Linked DNA regions of Saccharomyces cerevisiae S288C. The protein of the gene in region 1 interacts with the protein of each later gene in a biochemical or structural test. Each region holds a gene or a part of one and is shown in the gene's direction. Other genes may lie near its edges.

Region 1 (3,132 bases):
CAAGAAATCAAACTTAGAGCCAGAGTTTTGGTTAGTAAATCCCTCTTTGAATGATTTGAGAAATTTCGTTTCCAAGGATCTATTGGAAAGTTATAACAATTCGAAGAAAGATACAACTGAACTCGCTACCGCCGGTGTGAAACTAAACGAGAAATTCCAAGAATGGAAATGGAACGTAATGAGCAAGATAGCAGACGTGACTACCAAGTCTACCAATTTTATCGATAGTTGGCTGACTAACAACTCACCCATACAAAAATCACAAATCGACAATGAATACTTGCAAAAGCTTCTGAACAATGAGAAGGTTAAACAAATTGAACAGGATTATGACTCTGCAAGAGTGTATTTGGCAAACTGGTCATTAGGAGTAAAACAGGAAGCTGAGAGGTATCAAAAGCAGAACAAACTCTTTGATTCGTATAGGAATAACATTTTCAACGACCTGAATCTAACTGATGAATTAAGTGATACTGAAATAAATAATGCTCTGCAAAGACAATTTCCTTTAACGGAAGCGAAATGGAATTCGCTATGGGATGAGAACGATGGGAGGCTGAGGGTCACGGTAAACGAAGTTAAGGATTTCATATTTCATGGTGGGTTAGAAAATGACAGTTTGCGAGGGAAAGTTTGGGGTTTTCTCTTAGAAATATATCCGTGGGATTCTTCTCAAGACGAGAGGGTACAAATCGATCAAACTTTAGCCGCGGAATACGATCAATTGAAACTAACCTGGTCAAAAGATTTTTTACAATTTGACGATGAAGATGAAGAGGAATATTGGAACGATCAATTATTCAGAATATCTAAAGATGTGAGACGCTGTGATAGAAACTTGGAGATATTTCAATACAATACCATCGATGGATTACCACCACCGCCACAACAACTCCCAGCAAATGAAAATAACAGTACCAGCCCCGAATCCGCTAATGACGAGAGCGATGATGCAGACGATGGAGTCAGGAACCCACATTTGATACATTTACAAAACATTCTTATCACTTATAATGTCTACAACACAAACTTAGGCTACGTGCAGGGGATGACCGATCTTTTATCGCCTATTTATGTCATCATGAAGGAAGAATGGAAAACGTTTTGGTGTTTTACGCACTTCATGGACATTATGGAAAGAAATTTTCTAAGAGACCAGAGTGGCATCCATGAACAAATGTTAACTCTCGTGGAATTGGTACAATTAATGCTACCCGAATTGAGCGAACATTTAAACAAGTGTGATTCAGGAAACTTGTTCTTTTGCTTTCGAATGCTTCTAGTATGGTTCAAGAGAGAATTTGAAATGGAAGATATTATGCACATTTGGGAGAATTTCTGGACTTTCTACTACAGTTCACAATTCCAATTATTCTTCATGTTGGCCATTCTACAGAAAAACTCACAAGCTATTTTACAACATCTAAATCAGTTCGACCAAATATTAAAATTTTTTAATGAACTTAACGGGAAGTTGGATTGGAATGACCTAATGGTTAGAGCAGAGCTTTTGTTCAAGAAGTTTGAGAAAATGATGCACGTCATGGAAAGAGATTTACAAAACGTATCCTCCTCTTCATCCTCATCCTCTACCGGCGTATTGCCTTGTCAGAGCGAGAGGTTGACCCTGCTTCTTTCTAAAAAACCTATCATAAGACATGAAGGGCAAAGGAGCAAAAATTCCGTTAAATAGTGGTAAATAGAAACGGAACTTTACATATTGAATACCGGAGATATAATTCGTTTATGCCACATAATCATCAATACATCCGTAACCCGCCCGAAACGGAAAAACTGAAGAAAAATTACATAAAAAGTTTAATATTTTTATCAAATTTAATTGAACCTATATTTAGGAACATTATTGTTTTTAATTTCTAAACCGGTTGGGTTGGTCGATAGTTGTGCTCTGGATCATTGATAACCACTGACGTGTAATAGTTTTATTTCTTTGAAAAATTCAAAAGAAATAACAACACTCGTTCTCGGAAACAAGAAAATACACACAATAATGTCTACTATTCCCTCAGAAATCATCAATTGGACCATCTTAAATGAAATTATATCTATGGATGACGATGATTCCGATTTTTCTAAAGGTCTAATTATTCAATTTATCGACCAGGCACAAACAACTTTTGCTCAAATGCAACGACAGCTGGACGGTGAAAAAAATCTTACCGAATTAGACAATCTGGGCCATTTTTTAAAGGGTTCTTCTGCTGCATTAGGCTTACAAAGAATTGCCTGGGTTTGTGAAAGAATTCAAAACTTGGGAAGAAAAATGGAACATTTCTTCCCCAACAAGACCGAATTGGTCAACACTCTGAGCGATAAATCGATTATTAATGGAATCAATATTGATGAAGATGACGAGGAAATAAAGATACAAGTGGACGATAAAGACGAAAATTCCATATATCTCATCTTGATAGCAAAAGCTTTGAACCAGTCTAGGTTGGAGTTCAAACTGGCGAGAATTGAGTTATCTAAATATTACAACACAAACCTATAATCGTCATCATTTTATTCACACCTCCGGATAATCCATTCTTCCCCGGAAAAACACATGTACAATATATATTATATATATATATATATGTATATCAAATCATACAACTTACATAAAAACAACAAACCTGAATATTTTTCCTTTTCAAAAAGTAATTCTACCCCTAGATTTTGCATTGCTCCTCTATAACTCATTATTGGTTAAGGTGTAGATGTCACCAAGTTTATCAATGTAAAATTTAGGTCTTGGATAATCGTGCGAAATCTTCAAGGCTCTCTCTTCGGTTTCAATACCACTCAAAACGAGTAGTGTGCCACCTAACCCACCTTCAACACCGAATTTCATATCGGTGTTTAATCTGTCACCAACCATACAGCACTTTGATCTATCCAGGTTGAATGCCGATATAATGCTGTTTAGCATATTTTGATTTGGCTTACCACAGTACGATGGCCTCCTATTAGATGAGAATGCCAATGATTCAATCATGGAGCCTGCACCGGGAAATGTATAACCCTTTTGCGGGAAAGTAGAATCAACATTTGTACCAACAAAGTGAACAGAATCCTTCTGCAAATACTGCAGTGTAACAGCCAAACGGTGGTAATTTACCTTCGTGT
Region 2 (4,524 bases), on another chromosome or scaffold:
ATATCGCTGAGTTAGTCCTAGCGTTAGAACATTTACACGATAACGATATCGTTTACAGGGACCTAAAGCCTGAAAACATTCTACTCGATGCCAACGGTAACATCGCTCTTTGCGATTTTGGTCTTTCTAAAGCTGACTTGAAGGATAGAACAAACACATTTTGCGGCACCACGGAATACCTGGCACCAGAATTGTTACTGGACGAAACCGGCTACACCAAAATGGTCGATTTCTGGTCTCTAGGTGTTTTGATATTTGAAATGTGTTGTGGTTGGTCCCCTTTCTTTGCGGAAAATAATCAAAAAATGTACCAAAAAATTGCCTTTGGTAAAGTCAAATTCCCCAGAGACGTACTGTCACAAGAGGGGAGGTCTTTTGTAAAGGGTTTACTAAACAGAAACCCCAAACATAGACTCGGTGCCATTGATGATGGAAGAGAACTACGAGCTCATCCATTTTTCGCAGATATCGACTGGGAGGCCTTGAAGCAGAAAAAAATTCCACCACCTTTCAAACCTCACCTAGTCTCGGAGACGGATACCTCGAATTTTGACCCAGAGTTCACAACAGCTTCAACTTCATACATGAACAAGCACCAGCCGATGATGACTGCTACCCCGCTATCTCCAGCCATGCAAGCAAAGTTTGCTGGTTTCACCTTTGTTGATGAGTCCGCCATCGATGAACACGTTAATAACAACAGAAAATTCCTACAAAACTCGTACTTTATGGAACCTGGTTCCTTTATCCCGGGAAATCCAAACTTACCTCCAGACGAAGATGTCATCGATGATGACGGGGACGAGGACATCAATGATGGATTCAACCAAGAGAAAAATATGAACAACAGCCATTCGCAGATGGACTTCGACGGCGACCAACACATGGATGACGAATTTGTCAGTGGAAGATTCGAAATATGATTTCTCAATCGCTCCTCTTGCCCTTCCTCTTCTTTTCCTTTTCTTTTTATTTTTTTCTAATTTTTCTATCTTTTATTTCTACTTCTATTATTAATTTGTATCTTCTAATCGTTTTTCCCACTTTATCGAAACATTTCTTCTATTTATATATGTAAAGTATGTATGTATTTTCGTTTTATTTAAACTCCAAAAAATGAATAATTGTTCCTGCAAATTTCTAGTTTATCACGTCTCATAATCACTGCTTATACCTCACCATTCCATTGTACTTTGACATATTTACCCCTCATCTATATATAATCAGGGCTTAAGTAAACGCTTCGCTGTGATTTCCCAAAGTCGGTTCGGAAATTATAGGTCGGTTATATCATCCGAAAAAAAAAAAAAAAAAGTTTTTCTTAAATGCATAGGTTTAAAGTCGATTAAAAGTAGGGCTAACACAAGTATAAGCAGGGTTTTGCTATAATAGGGATGCCATAAGTGAGGGCAGGGCTCATCGATGCGCGTACATGGATTTTCCGAAATTCTGAATTTTTTCTTTCTTTAACTATGAGCAAAATGTGGTCAGCTTTACTGAGCTTAACTGTCATCCCATCGAATGTGACAAGATTGAAAGTGCTTCCAGGATCTGAAACATTTGTCAAAGTTTTACTAACATTACACAGATATCCCTGGTCACCTTACTATCTTCCAACATCTTACCTAGGCTTGCTGCTTTTGTTTGGGTCATATATTTAACTCGCTCATTAGAGGACATTCTGTTTTTTCCAAGACCAACAAAAAAGCAACGAAATTGCTGTATTATTAAAGGACTGTTATAGAAGTTTTTTTATCCTCTCTTTGTTTCCATTATTCTTATTCCTATTTTTTCGTTGCTTACTTTTGATATCCACTATGAGCTTTTCCACCATAAATAGCAACGTCAATAAAACCACCGGCGATAGCAATAATAACACCACCGAGAACAGTTCGACTGCAGACCTTTTAGGAATGGACTTGTTGCAGAGCGGGCCTCGACTGATGAACACGATGCAGCCAAACAACTCTTCTGACATGCTGCACATTAACAACAAGACTAATAACGTTCAACAACCAGCTGGAAACACAAATATCAGCAGTGCTAATGCGGGAGCAAAGGCTCCAGCAAATGAGTTCGTAAGAAAACTGTTCAGGATACTGGAAAACAATGAATATCCTGACATTGTAACTTGGACTGAGAACGGCAAAAGTTTCGTCGTTTTGGACACAGGAAAGTTCACTACGCATATATTGCCTAATCACTTCAAACATTCAAATTTTGCATCTTTTGTAAGGCAACTAAACAAGTATGACTTTCACAAGGTTAAGAGAAGTCCCGAGGAAAGACAGAGATGTAAATATGGCGAACAAAGTTGGGAGTTTCAGCATCCAGAATTTAGAGTCCATTACGGAAAAGGTCTCGATAACATCAAAAGGAAAATTCCGGCGCAAAGGAAAGTGCTTTTGGATGAATCTCAAAAGGCTCTTTTGCATTTCAATAGTGAAGGCACTAACCCCAACAATCCTTCTGGGTCTCTTTTGAATGAATCCACCACAGAGCTGTTGTTAAGCAATACCGTAAGTAAAGATGCATTTGGAAATCTAAGAAGGCGAGTAGACAAACTACAAAAGGAGTTGGATATGTCCAAAATGGAGAGTTATGCTACTAAAGTAGAACTACAAAAGTTGAACTCGAAATACAATACGGTTATCGAAAGTTTGATAACATTCAAGACCATAAATGAAAATTTACTCAACAACTTCAACACTCTGTGTTCCACTTTGGCAAATAATGGTATTGAAGTGCCAATATTTGGCGACAATGGAAACCGTAACCCAACTGGTAATACCAACCCAGCAACAACAACAGCTATCCAAAGCAACAACAACACCAACAATGCTTCTCCGGCAACATCTACAGTTTCCTTACAACTACCTAATTTACCCGATCAGAATAGCCTAACACCAAATGCTCAAAATAACACAGTCACGCTACGAAAAGGTTTCCATGTACTGTTGGTGGAAGATGACGCAGTGTCTATACAGTTGTGTTCAAAATTTTTACGGAAATATGGCTGTACTGTCCAAGTTGTCAGCGACGGTCTTTCAGCTATCTCAACACTAGAGAAGTATAGGTATGATTTGGTTTTAATGGACATTGTTATGCCAAACCTAGATGGTGCCACAGCGACATCCATTGTCAGAAGTTTTGATAATGAGACTCCCATCATTGCCATGACAGGTAACATTATGAATCAAGACTTGATCACATACTTACAACATGGAATGAATGATATCTTGGCCAAACCATTCACGAGGGATGATTTACACTCAATTTTAATACGTTATCTAAAGGACCGTATTCCTTTATGCGAACAGCAATTACCACCTCGCAACTCTTCGCCACAAACTCATTCCAACACCAATACTGCTAATTCGAATCCTAATACGATTAATGAACAGTCGTTAGCCATGTTACCACAAGATAATCCGTCAACTACTACCCCTGTTACCCCAGGTGCCTCTATATCTTCTGCACAGCATGTTCAACAAGGTCAACAAGAACAGCAGCATCAAATTTTCCATGCTCAGCAGCAGCAGCAGCATCACAACGCCATTGCTAATGCTAGGTCAGACGTAGCCATACCGAATTTGGAACATGAAATCAACACTGTACCACATTCCTCAATGGGTTCCACTCCGCAATTACCACAATCTACACTTCAAGAAAACCAGCTATCATAAAATTTTACAAATAGCCTTGCGTCTAAGTTAGCAGAGGACATTCTGTATTCCTGAGGAGTTTCTTTATATTTATTATGTGATCTTGGAGGATTATCATTTTCTTTTCGTTCAATATTTTATCCCCTTCAGTTATTTCCAGTTATCTACATCAAAATGTTTGAATTTTATTTCTTTCTGCCGCTCTCAAATTCACTCTCATTTCTTTTTTCTTTGTTTTTCTTATATTTACTATATATATATATATATATATATATATATAGCCAAAAACAATAACAGACACAGTAATTTAGTATGCGTTTATCTCTTATCTTTCATCCACTGCGACCGAAACGTTTGAATCGAATCTGACTGAGGTTTTTCTTACATTCCCTTGTGTATCAACAGTTTCTGGTATGTCTAATTCAAATTCTTTTCCATTCTTCAGTATTTCTTTTAAATCTGGCTGGGCCTCTCTCATGGAAGATTTACGATTACCAGTTGATTTCTTAGAGCCATCTTCACTACTATCATTGGAATCTATTTTTTCTACTCCTAAATTAGCATCCGCATTCTTTTTCTCTAGATTTGGAACTCTTTCAAATGTAGATAGTTCATTTTGACAGCGGTCACACTGGCATAAGAAGCCCCAGTTAACTCTTAATTCCCTACGCCTCAACCTCACCCCATGTAAGGGATTGACGTACGTAATACGTATTTGTTCCCCCTTCTTTATTGGTTTCCTTGCATGCAACCTCAGTTCCTCATGTTCTTCTACTTGCTCAATATAGGCGTTTGGTTCACAATCATGGTTTATGAAGGAGATCCAATGATATACCTGGCCGTTATATTGATTGATATT

Evidence for each region.
Region 2: of the proteins of YPD1 (region 1) and SKN7, one has a biochemical effect on the other in vitro, tested with the Saccharomyces cerevisiae proteins (2 studies listed by BioGRID).

The regions. Positions count from the first base shown.
Region 1 is NC_001136.10:32,798-35,929, reverse strand, and holds YPD1 (Ypd1p), read left to right. Parts: upstream 1-2,011; coding exon 2,012-2,515; downstream 2,516-3,132. Other genes in the region: GTPase-activating protein GYP7, read left to right, coding at 1-1,693; PHO13 (4-nitrophenylphosphatase), read right to left, coding at 2,696-3,132. UniProt on the Saccharomyces cerevisiae protein: Phosphorelay intermediate protein that is part of the branched SLN1-YPD1-SKN7/SSK1 two-component regulatory system, which controls activity of the HOG1 pathway and gene expression in response to changes in the osmolarity of the extracellular environment.
Region 2 is NC_001140.6:510,915-515,438, forward strand, and holds SKN7 (kinase-regulated stress-responsive transcription factor SKN7), read left to right. Parts: upstream 1-1,817; coding exon 1,818-3,686; downstream 3,687-4,524. Other genes in the region: serine/threonine protein kinase SCH9, read left to right, coding at 1-923; SET5 (S-adenosylmethionine-dependent methyltransferase), read right to left, coding at 3,991-4,524. UniProt on the Saccharomyces cerevisiae protein: Transcription factor that is part of a SLN1-YPD1-SKN7 two-component regulatory system, which controls gene expression in response to changes in the osmolarity of the extracellular environment.